Linked DNA regions of Drosophila melanogaster. The protein of the gene in region 2 interacts with the protein of the main gene of each other region in a pairwise test. Each region holds a gene or a part of one and is shown on either strand. Other genes may lie near its edges.

Region 1 (6,313 bases), on a different chromosome or scaffold from region 2:
GATTGGAAGAGGGAAATCCAAGCTGGTCCAGAACGCGATTCTATTCACGTGCAAGGTGGCCAGATTGCAAACCTGATTCCATTTGACTTGGCGGCGCCCCATGCGATTCGTTTTTCCCAGTATTGCGAACCCGTTTTAATGCGTTCAATTCCGCCGAATCAATAAACTGTCATATTAGCACACAGTTTATTAGCAAGTTTTATGCAAAAAAGGTTAGCCAAGGTACTTGGAAAGATTATGGTTTTGGATTGGCAGGGAGTCATAGTTTTTTTTTGTAAGAAAGTCAATATGGCTATGTAAATAATTTAAAATGAAATTCAGGCATAAAGCTCAACTTTATTTAAGTATTTTGAAAAACAATTATTTCTATAATTAAATTCTTACTTCTTTCAATTACTAAATACCAAAATTATTTAAAATTAGAATGACACCTAATGGTAATTTTTTCGAATTTTAAATACAGTTTCATTTATTTTTATTAAATAACAAGTTTTCTTATCTATATTCTGAAATAATTATATAGTTTTCATCAAAAATAAAATTATAACATTATTTTTCGTCATTTAAGGCTATAGGAATTTAGAGTATAGTATATACAAATAAATTAAGAAAAGGTTAATATGCGTGCAACAGTGCGTATGAGTAATGTCCATCATAAGAGGCGTGCCTTTTGGAGCCTTTAGAAAGTTTTTTCAATAGCAAGTATTTAAAGATCATATTTAATATGTATATATACATATTTGTATATATTTGGCTTTAATTTGCATTGAAATTGTGTTAATCAAATGCTTTAGTGAACATTTCTTGTTTAGCTACTTGTTTATATTAGCTGCAAGGTATTAAAAATACGAAAATAGTTTTGTTTTTTCACCATTTTATTTGTAATTGGCGATGTATTTTTTACTACTAGTTTTCATTTTAGTACAAGAGTGAGAGTATAAATATGGTGCTTTGGATTTGAGGTAAGTTTTGGCCCATCTTCGAAATTAAGGCGAGTACTTTCCTACTTTCCTACTTTCCTACTTTCCACCGTGCACATTGCAGTATTTGCAGTCCCCGTTGATTACCACATTTCCTGGATCGGGCGACAGGGGAACAGCTGCGGAAGAAATAAATAATTTATAAAGTAATCAAATAGCTATAAAATATAGTATTACTAACCGTTGGCCAGAGCCAGCAGACCGAACACAAAGACGGTGACGACTGAGAAGAACTTCATATTGATTCTGGTTTGGTTGTTGTGGCTTTGATTTGCTAAATGCACAAGCAATCGATTGAATTCAACTGATGCTCTTGGCTAGTTCGATTGGATCTTATATAGCTCAGCCTGGAATCTTGGAGCAGCAAATGTGCATTGGTTGGACGGAGGCCACTGATAACCCCCATCGAATCGAAAGCGCTTGGGAAAACACAGAAAGTTGAGCGTTCAATAGCATTTGTTTTGCGTATTTAAATCTGGAAATTCCAGTCCCGTGTTTATGGGCGTGTTATGTGAACCAACAGGTAGAAGCTAAGATTGCTTTAATGTTCGAGAGAAAACCATTGGAGTTCTTAGAAGTATTCAAAATAGTTGCAGTTCAATATAGCTTTCAATCATTTGTCTTTCTTTATAAGAACTGAATAATTTGTTTTTTGTTTTGTTTACAAACAAAGTTTGTTGTTGTTTTTTACCTCGATTTGAAGCACATGCACCTGCAAAGTTTTGCATATATTTCAATATAGAAATGTGTTGTGCTCAGTGAAATTGAAACCGGCTTATAACATTTTGAATACAAAGTCTGCACGTGCTACAAATTAAATTAACACGTATACACTTGCATTCAAAAACGAGTTCATTAAACTTACTATTGAGTATGTTTTTAAATAATAATATTCTGTAGTAATCTTTTTAACAATTACTACAAAGAAAGCGTTATATTCTTCTTGTAACCATTAAATGAAATTTTATACGCAGTCAATATAATATTTAAAAAAAAGTTAGAACTCAGGGAATAATTAACTAAATCATGTTAGAATATGGTTAATCTATAATAAATAGCTGAAATAAAATTGCATCAGCCGCTTTGTAAATTGTATTGATTTTAAAAAAAAGATGATAATTTATTATATTTTGAAAAGCACTCATTTCCTTTAATCTCCTACACAGGCAACAGTCAATAGTTCAGCTTTGTTTTAAAACAAAGGTGTACTCAATTCCAGCCAGATCGGTTTTAAATTTGTATACATTATATATATAGATTATACAGATTATAAATCTCAGCTAATCGGCACGGCTATAAAAAGAAGGCGACGCCGATCAATCGGCTTAGAGGGAATCATAATGAAGAGCCTGACGTTATTGGCGCTTTTGATCTTGGCCACGTTGGCCTTTGTCCACGGTCGGTTTGAAGGCCAAAAGGTTTTAACTTGAATATTAACCGTTCTTCTACCTAGGTGGCAAGGTGACCATCAACGGCAAGTGCGTAAACTGCTCCCATGATCAAACGACTACCACCACGCACAAGCCAACAAGTGGAAAAGGAAGTGGAGGTAGGACGACAGCCCGGCCAAGCTCGAGATCATCTCCAGCCCGCGGTCGCCCATCATGGGATGACGATGATGATGATGACCTGACCGGTGACTGGGCACTGCATCAATCGGCTGGAGGAACTCAATACATTGGCAGGCGTTCGAAGCGTCAGTCACGCGGTGGTCAGTACATCGATTTGGGCGGATCTGGCGGAAGGGGTGGAGGCGGAGGATGGGCAGGATCTGGCATAACCACCATCGATTCCAGTGGCTATCCCGGCGGAACACTGGTGCGCAATAGTGATTGCGTCGGTTGCAATATTCGCGGATAAAGTCAATAAATTATTGAAACACTAAGAAATTATCTTTTTTTTAAAACGAAGATTGTTTAAACTTATGTGGTGGAGGAATCATCTGTAAACCAATATTCGAATTTTTTCTTATAGTCTCTATAAATGATTGCGATTTAAATACAATTTACAATATAGCTTTCATTTTATTACATTTTTATTATGATGCTAAATATAAGTTTTGATTAAAAATTTCTATTTGCCACCACGAACATTGCAATTCACACAGTCGCCATTGATGATAACATTTCCTGGATCGGGTGACAACGGAATAGCTGTTGAATAAGATGATTATTTACTTAAGTAATCAACTAATTAATCTTTGTAGGTTCTACACACCATTGGCCAAAGCCAGAAGACCAAGCACAAAGACAGTGACGATTGCAAAGAATCGCATATTGATTTTCAATTAATAGATCCGGTTTTATAAGCTGAACACACCGGACAAACGATCAACTACAACTGATGCTCTCGATTAAGGGAAACCGATCTTATATAGCAGATAGTCGGATCTAGGAGTGAATCAAGTGCCATATGAGATGAGAGCGATTGATTGATAGCTGCTGACAAAATATTTTTTTCGTGGGAAATATAGATTTACACTTTTTGTTTTGATTAATTCGAAAATACTAAAAATAAAAAACATCTTTTGTTTAGTTAGAAAGGAAATAGAATCCTCTATTTGTATGTATTTCTTTGATTTGCATTTTTAATTCTATGTATTATTCCAGTAAAAAATGGTAACAGCTTTTGTGTTCTAGTTTGTAGACTATGTCCTTTTTCGAATCCTTGGGTTGAAACTTCCTACTTGCCACCGTGGACATTGCACACCCTGCAATCGCCATTGATGATCACATTTCCTGGATCGGGCGACAGTGGAACAGCTGGAAAATAATAATAATAATAAAATTAGTTAAATCATCAAATAGGCAATTTCAATTAGTTTTACTCACCATTGGCCACAGCCAGCAGACCGAGCACAAAAACGGTGACGACTGAGAAGAATTTCATATTGATTCTGGATGGATTTCTCCGGTTTTGGATACTGAGTGCACTGGGCAATTGATTGGATTGAACTGATGATCTCGGCTAGTTGGAGCCGATCTTATATAGTCGAGCGTCGGATTAGAGAGCCACGCGAATTGGTGATAAGCCGTGTATTTGGGAAAACACAAGCATTTAATCGGTAGACTTAAGATGAAGTCTTCAAAGAAGGTAAAAGTACGCATATTTCAGACTTTTTTTTTATAAGAATTTTATATAAATTATTATTTTAATTATTAATTATTAATTTCAGGTAAATCGGTAGAATCATTGGTAAGAAGCATTTTTTAAGAAATAGCTTGTTTTAAGTTTTATATAAATATATAAATATAATTAAGTAAAAGTTGTAAAAGTTGTCGAACAAATTATGCAGATGAAATGAGACAATGGGTATTCTTATATTTATATATAATTGTCAAGAAAAGCAAATTTAATGATAACCGAAGACATTAAATTATTGATGGCATAAAAATCTGTATATTTTATCACAAACATGATAAACATGAGCTAGAATGTAAAAATCAAAACAATCTAAAAATTCTATATTTTACAAATAAGCTTTCATTCGATTTCTAGCTAGCAATAAGCAAAGTAAGAAGCTTGTGGAAAACCCCTGTCAAGAGTTATCTGTAAATTGAACTGGTTTCTGGGGGCGAATCCCGCACCTATCCACCCTTGGTTGTGCCTCCACTGCAATCTGGTTTTCATAACAAAGCGAATGGGAATGCTTAAAAGCTCACAGATTCCATGTGTCTCGAATAGATTCGTCTTGCACGCAGATTGAGAATGAAGTGCCTGATTCTGTCCTTTGCAATTTTCGTTGTCCTGGCTTCCCAGGCTACGGGTAAGAATCAGATGGGCGCGCCTTTCAATGTCACAATTTCGCTTATTATTTTATTATTCCGCAGCCGGAAATGTGATTATCGGCGGAGTATGCCAGGATTGCAGTCCGCCGGTGGCGGAAAACGTCGTAGTCGGTGGCCAATCCTACAGGACGGGTAGGCCGGGCCAGGGAACGGTGTATATCAATTCCCCTGGCGCATATCTAGGAGCTCTCGATGGTCCCATTCGGCGAACTGGCGCTGGCGGCGGAGGAGGCGGTGGCGCCCAGTATCCGGATGGTTACAGTGGTCGTCTGCCAGGTGGCACTTACCTTCACAATAAGGATTGCGTGGGCTGCAGCATCAGCGGGGGCGGGGATTAACGAAATTATATTGTGATTTGTACATAAAATACCTCGCATTTTTTAATTTTCGGGCATAATTTATAATTCTTTAAAAAATCTGAAAATTTGGTATAGTTACTTTATGTCATATTTTATAGAATCTTATTGGTTCAGACCTTTATAAATGTCCTTTATAAATTTTGATAAAATTAATTTTCCAACTGTTTTTTGAGTTTCGTAGAGACAAACATTTTTAATTAAAAAGTAAAATTATATAAGAGCTATTAAGTAATCAAAGCTAATAAAAAAGTTATAAATCAATTAGAAAATCAAAAAGACCCTCGTTTAATACGCTTATTAAACATATGATGGCATTTTATTACCAATTTAAAATTTTAATTTTTCCTTTTCATTTCTTTTTATCAAAGCATTGTTTATTGGTCGGAAAAAAAAAGTTTTGTTTGCGCAATATACAAGTTTACATACTTTACTTCCATAGAATTTTATTAATATTTGCGGTATTCGACCATAATTGAATACATACATGCACTGAAAATACTTTTTACGACAATATTCATTTTTCAATTTAAATGAAATTCTACAAAAATATTAAGAACTTCAAATGTGTGTTTTAAATAAAGTAGTTCGAAAATTAACTTTAACAGATACTTAGTATAGTTTTTCAAGTAATAGAGCTTCATATTACTTATGATTATTACACAACTCGAAAATAATATGCATTGCATATCTGAAATATTCCCCCTACGTCATATTACTCTTATCACAACTATAACTTAGAATACTACTTAAATAATAAGCTGATTTAGTTGAAGCTTTTGAGATGCTTTTGAGATGCACTGCCTCTGAGTCAAACGTTCAGTTGAGTGGTATACGTTATCAAGAGCGATGGGGCTTTTGGAAAACCCAAAGATCTATAAAATATTCTAGGGTATTTTCTGTTACTCCCGTGTTATTCACCGTCGAGATGAAAAGATGCAGCCGTATAAATCGCACTGGAATTGAGCGATCGCAGTTATTGACTCGTCTCAATTGTCGCAGCGATGAAGTGGTTTTCGATTTTGTTTGCGCTACTGGCGCTCATTTTCTTCGTCGAATTTGGATATGCTCGTAAGTTCTATCTATAAAAATTATTCCAATGAATATCTATAAAAATATGTTACTTATTTCAGGAACAATTCCCAGGATTACCATTCGCAATGGCGACATTATAGTTCATGGCAATTGC
Region 2 (7,106 bases):
CCAGGCCCTCCTGGATCGCACTGCTAAGCTTCTTTTTCAGGTTCCCGAACATCTTGCGACAACGGATCTCTATTTATTTAACTTAGCGATTTCTAATTGTCTTCGCGCTGGCGTTTTCCATCGAAAATTGAGTGGTAAATAAAGAATCAGCTGTTCGGGCAGGTGCTGAGAGAAAATCGGTCATAGAGAGAGAGAGAGAGCAACAGTTTGTTGCCGTACACGAGAGGCATATCAACTATGGCAAGAGCTCTGGCACGTGGTTTTTATTACTTACTAAAACTAATAAGTATTATTAACATTTCAAATTTTGCATTTTTATTTTATAATTTAAATAAAAAAATGAACCCAAAGTTGATATTATAAACAGACACAACAGGGTATCATTCGGTGGTATATTTAGTATATTACTATTAAACATAACTTAAAAAAAAACCAACCAAATATGAATCTATCTATGGCAGAGCTTATATCTGTAATAATAATATAAAAACAATATTCTTAGTTTGGTTCAACTTCAGTTTGTTTCCTTTAAAATTTCATTCTGATCTTACATAACGATTCTCTAACTAAAGTTTAGCCTAATTAATCCTCGGTCAGGTCCACTGTAGTGACAGCTGTGCTATCGTCCACTTGTTGATTTGTGCTATCCGATTGAGACGGATATTCAGGTTCAGACGCAGGTTCAGTTTCACATGCCTTTTTTTTGGGCTCTTCATGGTACTCAATTATCTCAATATCACTATTATCACCAGATTCTAGGGTTATACAGCTGCGTACGCTGTTCTTTGCTTCTGAATCTGAGTCCGAGCTTGATTTATTGCCGCTGGACTCGGAGCTCGAGCTTACTTTAATGGTGAGAACATTTGGCTCTTCGTCGCTGGATGAAATGGACAGGGCCTCGGGCTTCTCGGATTTGTCCACCTCTTCGTCGGACATAAGTTCCCGGAATATATCGCTTATAGGAGAGGAGGAGTGTTCCTTAGACTCGCTGGCTTTCTTTTGGCTGCTCGGGTTTAGTAATTGACCATAGGCCATGGCCACTGCAAGAGCCATTTGCTTGGAGTGGTTTAGGAACACATCTGAAGGCGGGGGTATACGTAACGACTCGCTGGGTGCGGATTCCCAATCGCAACCGCTGCTGCTCTGGCTGCTTCTTCGTCTTCTGTGTGATTTTTTGTGTTTTTTAACCTTCTTTTTGCGCTTTTTTCGCCGATGTGAACTGCTGCGACTTCGACTGCGGCTTGAACTTCTGCTGCTCCTAGTTCTTCTTCGGCTGCGATGCTTCTTGGCCTTTTTGTGGCGGCTCCTGCTGCGCCTTCTGCTGGAACTTCTGCTTCTATCAACACTTTGAGTTCTGGGTGCATCGCGGCTGTAAAAGTAGTTGGACTTCCTCCTTTCGTGCACATCATCCAGATCCTGCAGCTTCTGTCGGCAATTTGCCTGTGTGCGCTCCTTTTCTCTATCATTATGCCGAATCGCGGTGTTTATGGTGCGGCCTAAGAAGCGTTTGTTTAGTTTGCCCAGAGGATTCACTTTGCGTTCGCTTTGTTTCGAGGTGCTGACACTGGCATTTGCACCTTCGATCTCGCGCATTAGCTCGGCAATCGCCTGACTAACGTGAGAGCATCAAATTAATTAAAAATATATCGGATTGTAATATAAATATTTACTTTGTTAGGTCTGCGTCCATTTCCATTTTTTGTGTTTGTTTATGGCATTTAATTGAATACCAATTGCTGCGAAACAAAAAATACCGCGGACGGTAAGTGCTACTTATAAGTATTTTTAAAATACTAAGTATAAAGCGATTATTGTATGTGCGTTAAATTAGCGTCGATGAGTTCGCGGCGATGACGGAACGGTGGAAATCAAAACATGGGGACGTTTTTTATTTATTTATTTCTTTTCGTTATTTGGAGGTGAATTGCAAAAAATAAAATAAAGATCTTACTAACTATTCCCACATTTTCGGGAATTTCTCCACTCGTAGAGCGTGACCACTTTTAAGGACATTTCTTTAGGGAAACGGCGGGGCAGACGTCAAGACATTCGTTGGGCCACGGGTGACAGTCGGTCGGGCGGGGCAGCAGGTGGGACAGTAAGCGTGGGGAGCCAAGTTTTCAAGTGCATATTTCATATACTTTCTTGAGTCCTATGAACTTAAGTCGTACATAGGTAGTTAGATATTTTTTTAAACGTTATTGCATTTTTTTGAATTCAATAATGAAAGAATAAATTATTCAAAATTCCATCGTTCCTCCGTTCCTCCTACACTAGCGATATTCTTGTCGATTAATATTGTCAGAGTAATCTTTTCTGCAAAATACCACAAATTAGTCCAACGATATCGATTGGCACAATCATCGATTAAAGTTTAAAAAATGACGACCGGCCGCAATAAATTGAATTTCTAGTTGGTTAAAGTAACGTTTATTGAAGAAGATCACATAATCGAGTACGACTAATATCACAGGTGAATCACAATCTTTATGTTTCAGATTCCTGGCCAACTATTTCCTGCCGTCTATCACTTTCTGCATCCAGGACACGTATTTACTGACGCGCGTGTAGATTCCGGGCAAACCTGGACGTGCACAGCCGATCCCCGTGGACACCACGCCCACCAGATGATGCTCCTTGGACATCAGCGGACCGCCAGAATCCGCCTGTGAAGGTAAGTAAACCCGGAGCATAACATGTGTGCCGTATCAGCCAAGTGAATACTCACCCAACACGAGTCGATTTGACCGTTTTCATAACCGGCACACAACTGTGTCTCTCCAATGGTATTGCTCTTGCCCAAGGATCGGTAGGACCTCTCGCACGCCTCGTTGTTCCAGATCTTAACGGTAGCCTTGCGCAGTACATCGGATCGATCGTTTTCCGCTTGGTTCTCGTGCGTCCAGCCCCAACCGGAAACTGTTCCGTACTCCTGCTCCAGACTTCGGTGCCCCTCCTCGGATCCCACGCAGCTGGGCTGGATGTGTGAAGAGAATCGGATTGGCTGTACCAGCTCCAGGAGGGCTGTAAAAGAATAAAATACCAATTTGCAATAGCTTAAGGAATACTAAGAATAATAAGTATTATTTGATTCGTCTCTGATTCATTATGGTTAATGTTAATATCCTTTGTTGAAACTATTTCCTACCTATGTATTTCTGTTTGTTTTTTTAAAACCTAAGCGCATATTTTTAATGGTGTTTTACTAGATTAAAATTTTTTATTCATTTTACTGAAAAATAATGTCATGTTAATGTCATATTGTTGATTTATGATTCAGTTCTGTACATATGGAAAATAATTGAACCTGCAATTACCCCTTAAAAAACACACATACCTATATCGTGTTTCACATCGTTGCAGTCGTATTGCGGATGGGGCACAATGTTCTTGAAGTCCACCCTCAGTGCATCCGGACCGTTGCCAATCCCGTTGAGGTACTCCCTGATGCTATGCAAACCCACAACTCCTTGGATTTGAGCTGGTTTCATGAACTGCTGCAGCCCATTGCAGATGCAATGTCCCGCCGTGAGGATCCATCGCTCCGAGATGATAGTGCCGCCACAAAAGTGACCACCACGACGCATCAGACTGACCATGTAGGGCATTTCGTTGCGCTCCGCCTCACTACCTCCCACGATTTTTGGATTTCGAACCGAGCATGGCTGGTTGCTAACTGTCATGGGAGTCAGAGGAATTTCAATTTGCGTGAGTTCATGATAAGGAGTGTTGAAAATAATTAGTTAATATAAGCAGAACGCATTTATTTATATTTCTCATAATCTAGTAAACTTTTCCTTATGCACGTTTTATGATTATACAAGTTTTGATAGAATCTTGAAATATTTGTAGGTTGAGTTCTTATCAAATAGGGAAGCATAAACTGTTGCAATTGGAACATTAGATGTTAGATTTATCCAGTGAATTTAGCATATAAATCCACAATGCTAAAAGATCATGCTTTCTTAATTGATATAAACTAACCTAAAATATTAAGGACTGCAAAAATGAATGGAATATTAAACACAAGTTAAAAGTTAAAAGGTAGTTCCCAGGAATCCTAATTTAGGAACTATAATTATTTTATTTTTCATATTATATTTGACTTATTACTCTTTTCGTCACATTTGTTCAATCAACTCACAAGCAATTTGGGATTGTGCACACTTCACTAGCGACAGAACCGCGACTACGAATACGATTTTCAACATTTTCTGTGTGCACAACCAGTGTTCTTAGCCCCGAAAAAAAACCCGTTAAGCACGGCTCAAGCTTAAACGAAACTGCCACGAATATTCTGTGCGGCAATTAATTTATATATAGGTGTCTGGGCGTCCAGCGCCTCTCCGTTCCACTGACTTACTTCACTGTCGTCCGGAGTTCTATGCGGATTAGCCGGAAAGCTCGCTCTCTCGGCCTGATAACAAACGGAAGTCGCAGCCGGGCCTTTGGCACCTGTTGCCTCAGCTGAGAGCTTTTTTTGCGCTGCACTACCTGTCTCATCGCCTTTTTTTTTTTTGCTGGTATTGTGGGCATGGGTGCCATGTGCACACGTTATGGCATTTCAATTGCTCCAAGGGGGGGGGGGGTGAATTAAGGAGCTGCCGAAAAGTCGAAAACAAACCCAAAAGTAAACAATGGCCGAAATAAAGTTTTGTGTGTTTTGCGTTTTATGACCCAGCGAAGTTCATGACATTGAAAAGTGCGCGACAAAAGGTGTGACAATATTTATGCTGAATTTTCGATGCCACCACTACGAGTTTATTGCACCTCTATCCTTATTTTAGTACATTATTATTGCGATTAGCACGTATTTAGGGTGTTATTGAAATTGTTGTATGGTTAATAAAGAAAAGGGTGTAAATATTATTATGACTTGTTAATCAACTGAAATGCTATTGCATAACTACAGAAAATTTTATAAATGATTCAAAACCAACTCTTTTGATTTTAAATTTCTTTTTGCTTGCATGTAGTATCTTTTATTTCTTCAGTTCTTATGATTTACAATGCATTTTTGTGTTCCTACAAGATCTAATTTATCTAATCTATCTTAAGAAAGTTAAAAAAGTTTCTAGGATTTGCGTAATCGTTACAGTTATGTCATTGCCTGCATTTGACACAATTAGTTCGCACATTGCAGCTAACCTTAGACGTCATATTTCCATCAGTTTAGACCTGGTAGTTAGTAATCGGGCCTGTTATGCAAATTAGGATGTCTGCGCTGCATATGAATACTGTGATGGGACCAAAAATTAATTGAAATTCAATGTCGGCGCAATCAATGTAATATTAGCCGCTTGACATTAACATTGCCCTTAAAACTAACGCATGGCCCACACACTCAATGCAATTGGCGACATGGGAAGGTTGATACACCATCCATCGCATATCAAAGTGATAAATGCAGGTGGAAGTGCATTTCTATGACATAATATGTATTATAAGCAATAGCATGCCAAAAATGATGGGTATTGAAGTGGGCAAAGCAGGAATTGGAATTGAAACTGAAAGTTAAGACGGAGTATGACAAATCTACAGACCAAGGCATTAATAATTCATTATCCACAATCTCGATTCTCAGTCGGAGCACACAAATCAGTTCAGTGGATCAGACAAGTATGCCAGAATTACTAATTGATTTCATGACTTTGGTTCCTTAACCGAAAACCAGATAGCATCCCAATCGAGTTCATTGATCGCGGCAGCTCTGTTTCGCACTAAATGCTAATTCACTAAACAAATCGCCCATAAAAAACACTATATATCCATTGTCTGCCGTTGACTGGCGTTGATACCAAATAACCAAATATAAACAATATTAACAAACACGAGTGCGGAGCTCAACTGAAACAAGTTTCAGGCGCATTGACACCCGCCTTTGGGCGAAACTTGGGCGCATTCAATGTGAAGGTCGCTTCGATTTGAGGTACTTGAGTTATGCTTGACAATTGTCATATTATTCAGCTATTTCGCTACACTTTTGTTTTCATTTCGACGAAGTTCAACGACGCCGCTCTCAGGTGACTAATTGCAAGGGGGAAGTCTTTGGACGTCGCTAATGCGGGTGTGTTTGGCGCTATAGGAAATGTTTTGGGGCGCAGTGAACCCATTTAACTGGCAGGTATTTATAGGAATCACGAATGGGTGGTAGTGGGTTATAAACAAAAACATTTAGCATAGATGCTTCAGTTATGAAATTTAACTGTTTATTATCTTCTTAATTGTGACTTAATTAAACTAGGTATGTAATTATAGTTTATAGTTTTCGTAGTGAGTAGGCTTTAAATAAAACATTACGTTATAAAATGGAACTATCTACAATCGTATAAATTGCAATTTAACTATATATAATTATAGCTTATAGTTTTCGATTGAATTTCGAGTGAGTAGTGGTTTCTAAATAAAACACAAGGATGCTTAAGTTATGAAATTGAACTGCCTAGAATCATATAGATCACAATTTCAGTAATTTATCAGTTTATATCTTTAATTAATGGGATATAAATTGCTTCTAAATATTACATATTAATTATGTATATATATAAATATTTATACTTGTTCTTTTATTTTCGCTAACCAAATTATCTAGTTTCACTACAAAAAAGTCTTTGTTACAAAGATTCAACTTGCTTAACAAAGATTCAGAAAAAAGGTATACATTTATTTAATTCAAAAAATTATATCGCTGGAACTTAAATATAAATATTAATAATAAGTATTTCAATTTATCTATAAAATCGTATGTATAATTAGCAATGCTTTTTATTTAAAGTAATTAAATTTGAAATCTCTATATATTTTTTAAACATAATTAATGAAATAAATCTTAACTTACCAAAACGAAGTGCTTTGAAATCGTCAGCGTTGAGGGGATCACTTATCTGGTTTCAATTATTGCTCGAAAGCCAACTGGTAAACAATGAGGGCTTTCTGAGCAACAATCAAAATTATATAAGTGTCCGTGAAGGAACTCTTATATAAAACAGCCAAACTTAGCCAATGGCTTAACACAATTTTGGGCATCACAATGCACTGACCATTTGAATGTTATTCTTATTCTAGGCAGGCCAACACGTCTGCTCGGTGTGAGAGCCGCACCGGAA
Region 3 (7,765 bases), on a different chromosome or scaffold from region 2:
CCGCTCGATTGCCACTAACCCGCTTACCGCTAGACCTACGCGCTGACTACGGCGCCATCTGGCCATGGACGCGGCCTGCAAAACTCCCATTCGGCCGATGAGCTGTACAGGGGCCAGGATACGATGGACAGCACGGAAAACTGGCTGCCGCGAGCCAGTTCCTTGAGCAGCATCGAGAGCTACACAGAGACGATCTACGAGCCGAGGACCGAGACCAAGCGACTGGTTATTCGAGAGGTTAGCGAGGAGGCGGAGTTCGATGATGATCCCCTGGGCGATGCCGGAGCAGCCCGTCTCCGGGACATGCCCGTCCGGAAGGCACAACCACGTCGGGCTGCTAGCACTGCCAAGGCTGCAGGCAAACGCGGCCAGAAACACAACGATATTGAGGGCGCCAGGAGCTCCAGCAGCTCCAGCAATGTGATCCGCTCCCGCCGCAAGCTGCGCGAACCCACGCCCGATGTGGATGTGGAAAACTACTGAAGATGGCTACCATCAAGCATACAGATACTCAGCGAACAATCGGATTTTACACACTCAGCGAAACACTTACACTTCATCACATTAACACTGTCGCCCACTAGCAGTTATATTTTTGTTTCAATAATGTATTTTAACTACGTTTACACCTAAGTTTCCGATTAGTTGTAGTTAATATTAAATTATTTAAATGCCAACTCTTGTGCTCTTGTGCTCTACTCCATCATCCACGATCAACCACTTAACAACATTGCTCCCCTGAAGGGAGGCGGCAATCTGGTGCAGACGATCAAGCGGAGCTACAGCCTCAGCGATCTTAGCGAACCGGATATGCATCGCACGCAGGACGAGCTGGACGACGTGATGATGTCCTCGATGACATCGTCGGCGGTGGTCATGCGTTCCACAGCCACTGGCGCACGTCTACTGAGGCCAAGAAATCAGACGCCCGTGGGCAGATCCGGCAGCGGAACACGCCACTCCACGGGCATGTATTTTACGGAGGTGGATGTGACCGCCAAGAATGCCGGCGATTTCAAGTGAGTCATTGTTCAGTTCAGTACCACAAGAAACTCAATACTTGGGTAATCCCCTTTTTCGATTTCAAGTTATTTCATTTGCCAAATTCGATAATCAAATTATTTCGTATCTATTTCAGCTACAACATTCGCAGCCAGGATGACATCAGCTCTGGCTACTCGAGCGCCGAACCTGTGAGTGGTCTCAGTCGCACCTCCTCCATGACAAACGCTTCCAAGGCTCGAGCCAAGTCCAAACGCAATGAGGTAGGAATCATTTCAGTCTTTCTTTTTGGAACTATCTTAATCCGTTTAGAGATTGGTGTTGGTTAGCAGTTGCTGGAAGAGATGAGAGACGAGGTCTACTTAGACAACCAGCTGTATTTTCAAGGTGTGCAAAGGAAGAGCTCAGTTCCAGAAGCTGAAGAACTGAAAATAGTGGAGAGTTCTGAAAGCATCCAATCTCAGGAGTTGGAAAAGGTGCTGAAGGAGGAGAACATTGATGCAGAAGATGAGGCCTTTTTTGAAACCTTGCCTTTGATAGAGGAGCACATAAATGAAGTGGTGGCTAACTATGGAAGGGATGAAAAGTTGTTGCCCCAAGAGCGGAAGCATAATTCGATAGAAGAGGAGCAGTTTGAAGATGCATTGTTTGAGGAACCACAGAAATGTGTCTCAGATGAAGTGGATGCTAAAAATATTGAGGAGATACTAACGGATAGAAGTCAAAACCAGACTCCGAATGGATCTGCTGAAACTACTGATTCAGGAACACCTTCCCAAAACAAGCCCTATGTCCATCCACCGATAGACCCATTTTTGCTGGTTCTAAGCGCTTCTGCATCTGCTCCGGATCCCTTTATGCCCGAACGGCCGCGTCCAATGTCGCCGCGTGAAATGCGCGAGACTCTGGAGGAGATTAAGCACAGTTTCCGTGCCCAACTGGAAGCAGAGCCCTCCGTATCAGCCTCACCATCACCCTCCTTGCGGCCCAAGGCCAACCATGGCAAGGGACGAGCTCCACCACCGCCCTTGCCACCCAAGAAGCACTCATTGAGTCCCCAACCGGACGCCATCAGCCAGACATCGACGGGCAGCGTGGAACGCAAGTCAGGTATCGGACAACTGTTCAAGAATATCAAAGCTAATGTGCTGCGTAACAAAGCTAATCCCAGCCAGCAGCAGCCCGAGGATGAGCAGCTGGCGGCCAAAGAGACACAGATTTGAAGTAAGCCCAGCCGCAAGCCCGTTTTCGAAGCTCTCATCATCCCCGTGTTATGTTTCGCTCACCGCCGGGCGATTTCTGCTCCGCCTTTAACTTCCATGGCCCCCAATATGGCATTATCTTTCTGTACAGTTGCGTTACTAACCCCCAGATTTAAGGATTTGCAGCATGTTGTTTTAGAGGCTCCAATTGAAGTACATACTCTCATCCTTCATCTACTTTCTTGACTTATTGCAGGACAAATCCATGTCTGCTAGCTGCACCACCTTGCCCCGCTCGAGCAGCCGGAAATCGGAGAGATCCCAGGGTGGAACTGCCACTGGCCAGATGAAAACGCGCAACAAGTCGGAGAAGTAGTGGAGCATCGGTTTAAGGCTGCCCATCTTTGTCAGTATGTTGATTTAGATGGTGACGGTGGGCAGACAGTGGAATCCATAGAACCAGAACCTCATGTTTTAGTTTAAATTGTAACTTTATACGGATATCGATACAGATTATGATAATATTAGCTATATATGCGCATGCACTGTGTACTTTGTTTGTGATTCTATTAGAGCTCCGGGCGCAGTTCGTCCTGGTTGCCACTGGTACTCATTTCGTGACTAGTTTAGCGTTAAGCGAGTCTCCTAGCCTCTATCCAAAGGTTCTGCAACAGATGTACTAACCAAAAATGAAACCCGAAGAAACCTATCAATTGTGTAGCATAAATTCCTAATATTGTAATTGAACATTAAATAAAAGAATCTATACCATTGATCCATTGAACTGAACAACCAGAGATGTCTTTAATGATCTTTGAACTAGCAATTCAGAACCGTTTACTTAGATACGAAGGACTTCTTACTCGGCTTCTTCTACAGGCGCCTTTTGGGTGTCCCCGCCCCCAGCTGCTCCTGCCTCGGCCTCGTCCTCCGGTTGCTCCGACTCATCGTCATCGTCGTTATGGTAAAGAACCTTGCGTATATAGCGGGCCACCAGCTCCTGTGGTCTCTTCTCCCATTTGGACAAAACATCATGTGGCGTTTTGATCTTAGTATGATTTTAGTTGGTAGATAACATTATAATAATGGACTGTAATGAACTCACTTGATCCCCATTTAGGCGATTCAGGATGGCCACACAGACGACCGCGCCCCTGATGTTGGCCCTACTGGTGAGGGCGGCAAAGGCCAAGCTCTCCATCTCGATATTCTTCACCTGCTGGCTCTGCAGCGTCTCCAAGTAGGATTTCTTCATTTCGGGCGTGTACTCGCAGAAGGCTCCATCGAGGCGCGACTGGCCTTCGTAGAAGTCATGGGCACACAGAGTCCGGCCGATGACAGCTTCATATTTGTCCTTGCAGGGATCGTGGCACATCTTGATTTCATCGGCCAGACTCTCATCGAGCTGGCTGGCATGCTGGACACTGACGCCGTGCACAAGGATCTCGTGGACGGGATTCAAGCGACCATCAATCGCCTCGGAGGAAATGATCACGGTGCCGGGTTCAACGCCAATGCCGCCGCTGGTGCCAATTCTGATGAAGACGGGGTCCTTGCACTTGGCGTGGTACATCATCTTGATGAGTTCGTGCAGCAGTATGGAGATCGACGGACAACCCATTCCGTGGCTGGCGCAGAGCACGGGACCCACCTTGAACAAGGAGAATCGCTGGCCGGCCTCCGATATGTTCCGTAGCTTGGTAGCCGCGTTTATCTTCAGACCGATCTCCTGCATCACGTAGTAGGCAAAGTTTTCCATCCGACCCGGAGTACCTCCCATGCATACAAACTTTGTGCAAAGAAGATACGCTTAGCATACTTATAGTTACTAGATACTTGAGTATAATGGTTGAGACTAACCCTCACATCACCAAAAACCTTGGGAAAGTCCGTGGTCTCCGTATTCAGGCCCAGGTGGTAGAGTATGTCAGGCTGCAGGCACTTCAGGCAGGGATTCAGGCCGCACAATGTGGATTCCTTGGCCTCCTCGTCCTTTTTGCAGCCTTCCTTCATCTGACGGACCAGCTTGGCGAGCGTCCTGCTCTGGGCATTCACGATGGCTATGGGATGCGGTCTGTGTTATGAGGGATCTCAGGAAACTCCTGTCTAAACTGAAAGTAGTCACCCTTTAGCTGGCCCACCTCGTTGGCCAAACGGCATGTGCAGTCACTGCAGTTGCTTTTGGACATTTTTGTTTTTTTAATTTTTAAGTTACTTCCAGCAATTTTGTCTTACTTCCGGAATGAGTGTCTATTTAAAGTTTGAATTTATAATTGAAATATAGAAAGTTGTCAGACATTGCGACTACTATAATTCGTAATATAAGGTATTTTCATTGTTACCTTTATTACAAAAGTGGACTTAAAGGACATAAGTTTCCAAAATCATTTAGTATGCCTAAATTTGAGTTACATTTGTATCTTCACCCGTACATATGGTCACCAAACATTTGCAGATGAGTGTAAGCTGCGCAGTACTTTAATAGCGCCCCTCGTAGGCCTAACTAAATGCGGCGATTACTTGGACGACCCGCGATCGCACCGCACTTAAGTATGGAGAAGCGCAAAAAGTGACCAAACCGGCTTGCCAACCGCTCTCTGCTTCTTGCCCATCCGCATGCGGCTCCAGAAACTCGGAGCGCAGCTTTCGCGAAGCCACCGTCGCGTCACGGCCGCCGTCGTGGTCGTCACACATGCGCAGCAGCTGATGCGCGAGCGCTGACCTTGACCCTCAATTGGAGTCGCAGTCGCTTGCAGACTTGTTGCCAAGTGCAGCCGGCAAAGTTGAAGTTGCCACCCCACCCCGGGACCGCTCTCTCTTCCTCTTGCTCTCTGCCTGCTTTTTCGCACAGCCAGTTTTCACCATTAGCGGCGACTGTACCTCGCAGCACGCTGTACGTCCATACATACGTATGTATGCATTCACTTAGCGCGCGCGTATGTACGCATGCATGTGTGTGTGTGTTGTGTGTGCTGGTACGCGAACTGCACACAGAAAAGAACAGGGCAGGAGAGCAAAGAAAGCGGCGTGAGCACATAGCGAAAAGAGAGCCCCCAGCCCCATATTCCATCCAGCCATCGCCATCAGCTGCCTGCGCCATGTGTTCCCGCAGCTGCAGTTGTGAAAATCGCCGGTAAACTGGTTGCGCGAGCGAGATGGAGAGAGTGCGAAAGCGGGCGATCGCTCTCTCCCGCTCAGGGGCGGAGATGCCTCAAATTGGCAGGGGGCCTAATGAAAGATGTTACCCTGGAAGACGCTGCAAGAATTACCCCAAAGACATAACACATGGTGCGGGATTATTTTTTTTTTTGTCTCAAATCAGCAGCTCCAGCATTTTAATTTACAATTAAAAAACAATCACAGTGATATTTGAATTTTCATTTCCTTCATCGTACGTAGGTTTCGGTCTCGCATCTTTTGTGTCCCGTCCGTCCAACTGAACTGAACTGAAGGTGTGTGTGTGCCGTTGTCTTCTTCATCTGCCCACTGAGTGTTCTGAGTGCCGCTTGCTTGTCTGCTTCTTTAACCGCTTAGCTCATCCTCTCCAGCGTTGCGTTCCGTTTTCAAAGTCGTCGTGTATGTCTACCATTGTTGATGTTCTCTTCTTGTTATTTGTCTGCTTCTCTGTTCTTGTTTGCTGCCCCCTTTGGCTCCACAGCTATGAGCTACATAGCATGCTACCCCGCTTGAGAGATCTTGCCAGGCGTCTTGGCTGATGGGTGTGTGGTATGGTATGGATGTGGATGGAGTTAATGGTATAGGGGTGGGATACTGGTTACTGTCTACAGATCCTGTCTTACAGTCTTAGATCCTGGATAATTCCCAAGGCTCGCCGGCAGCAGCTGGATGGAGTGGAGTTGAGTGGAGTCGAGTGGTAACGTGGCCTGATCTTCTAGCCGCCTGATTCTTCGCTTTTTCATTGGTTTTTATAATTTTTATTTACGTTTTTCTTTCGGTTGTTTCTGGCTGTGGAACTCCTAATAGGATCATTTGCTTTAAATAGTATTCTTTAAGGTATTTTTCTTTATATAATCTTATATAGTTTCATTCCATTCGTTATAATGTAATTAGTAAATTCAAACACTTGCAGCATAATCATATAATCATATAGGTATAATTATAGTAGAGTGGTTTGCTTGGTGATTTCTTTTGTTGTTGCTGTTGTGGTTTAGTCTCATCTTACAAATTGGGTCGTCGTGTCTTCTTCCTCATCTTCTACCTCATCCTCTTCCTCGTCGTCGGTGTCATCTGCTCTCTCGGCTGCACAGCTGCCGTTGGCTATCGTCTTCTGGTTCTGCTCCTCCGACCCCCGCTCGAGGAGCCTTTGCCCTCTTCCTCCTCCGTGATTCCTTTTCTGGCGGCTTTCCCTCGGAAAGCCAATACTTCTTGTCTTCTTTCAGTTCTCGGGACGTTGGCACCGCGCTGCAGGCTCGGCTTTTGGAATCAGCGATGGTTACTGGATGATGTTCAGGATTATGGATTCATATGCTGCATGTGTTAATGGAGGGATGTGGATGTGGTTGTGGGTTCTTTATTTTGAAGGGGTTGATCTTGACTTGGGTGCTGCTGCTATCGCTTCTAGATGTTGTTGCTGTTGGCTGGCTTTGTGAATGTTGTAGCAAATTGATTTTTCGTTTTTTTTTCATTTTTTTTCGTTCTCATCTTTTCTTCTGGTTGTTCTTCGTGTGTTGAATTATTACTCATATTCCTCCTTCGATGATTACATTTATGAGGTGCCACGGGTGGGTGGTGGCGCCTAGTTCCGTCCGCCCTTCTCGTCGCACTCGCGCCTCAGATGTCCGCTCTTGCCGCAGCCGTAGCAAGTCTTCGAGGTCTCCGGGCAGTTCTTGGAGATGTGTCCGGTGCGGTTGCACTTGTAGCACGACACATTGGTCGGTCCACGTTCGTTGACGGCCTCTGGGCAGTTGCGCACCCAGTGTCCGGTCTTGTTGCAACGGTAGCAGGTCGGGTTGTCCGCCTGGGTGCAGTCCTTCGAGATGTGCCCGATGCCGTTGCAGCGGTAGCAGCGCTCGGCCTCCTCAGGGCAGGCACGTGCGAAGTGCCCAAATTGGTTGCATTTGTAGCACTTCTCGCGGTTGCGACGCATGCCGCCGCCATCGTTGCCGCGCATACCGCCGCCGCCGCCACCACCGCCTCCTCCAACGCCGCCCGGACCTCCGCCGCCGCCGAGACTGCAGTCCCGGGCAAAGTGGCCCGGCCGGTTGCACTTGTAGCACGTGGCAGACATCGACATCTTTGCTTCGGTTTTGGTTAGACTACTGATCCGCAAATCCGACTCCGCTTCTTAAACTCAACTTCTCAACTTCCTCACACACTCACTGGTAACCACGGGCCCTCGAGCACTACACACTGCTTGCGCTGGATGCGAAAAAATCACACAGACCAACAGGATCTCCGGCTTCCTCAGATTTCCTCGCCGTATTTTCGACGCCAAAAGTTAAAATGGCTGCCGCTGAGCGAATGAGTACCGATTTGCTGTGGTATCGACTACTCGCCAGAGTTGCTTCGGCTACGCTTGAATACAACACTGACCCTCCACG

Evidence for each region.
Region 1: the proteins of CG14074 (region 2) and BomS4 interact in a two-hybrid assay, tested with the Drosophila melanogaster proteins (one large-scale study listed by BioGRID).
Region 3: the proteins of CG14074 (region 2) and CG3788 interact in a two-hybrid assay, tested with the Drosophila melanogaster proteins (one large-scale study listed by BioGRID).

The regions. Positions count from the first base shown.
Region 1 is NT_033778.4:18,381,579-18,387,891, reverse strand, and holds BomS4 (bomanin short 4), read right to left. Parts: upstream 3,326-6,313; 5' UTR 3,256-3,325; coding exon 3,198-3,255; intron 3,134-3,197; coding exon 3,054-3,133; 3' UTR 2,981-3,053; downstream 1-2,980. Other genes in the region: BomS2 (bomanin short 2), read right to left, coding at 1,020-1,099, 1,162-1,219; BomBc2 (bomanin bicipital 2), read left to right, coding at 2,321-2,378, 2,434-2,840; BomS1 (bomanin short 1), read right to left, coding at 3,663-3,742, 3,812-3,869; BomBc1 (bomanin bicipital 1), read left to right, coding at 4,689-4,746, 4,811-5,106; BomT1 (bomanin tailed 1), read left to right, coding at 6,129-6,195, 6,258-6,313.
Region 2 is NT_037436.4:18,860,826-18,867,931, reverse strand, and holds CG14074 (uncharacterized protein), read right to left. Parts: upstream 1,708-7,106; 5' UTR 1,671-1,707; intron 1,613-1,670; 5' UTR 1,594-1,612; coding exon 583-1,593; 3' UTR 501-582; downstream 1-500. Other genes in the region: Dysb (dysbindin), read right to left, coding at 1-52; CG6865 (uncharacterized protein), read right to left, coding at 2,511-2,666, 2,729-3,024, 3,338-3,676, 4,145-4,211.
Region 3 is NT_033778.4:22,929,055-22,936,819, forward strand, and holds CG3788 (uncharacterized protein), read right to left. Parts: upstream 5,024-7,765; 5' UTR 4,547-5,023; intron 4,470-4,546; exon of another isoform or gene 4,455-4,469; 5' UTR 4,394-4,454; coding exon 4,330-4,393; intron 4,265-4,329; coding exon 4,065-4,264; intron 3,994-4,064; coding exon 3,310-3,993; intron 3,253-3,309; coding exon 3,064-3,252; 3' UTR 2,981-3,063; downstream 1-2,980. Other genes in the region: ReepA (receptor expression enhancing protein A), read left to right, coding at 745-1,019, 1,139-1,265, 1,335-2,225; CNBP (CCHC-type zinc finger nucleic acid binding protein), read right to left, coding at 6,961-7,458.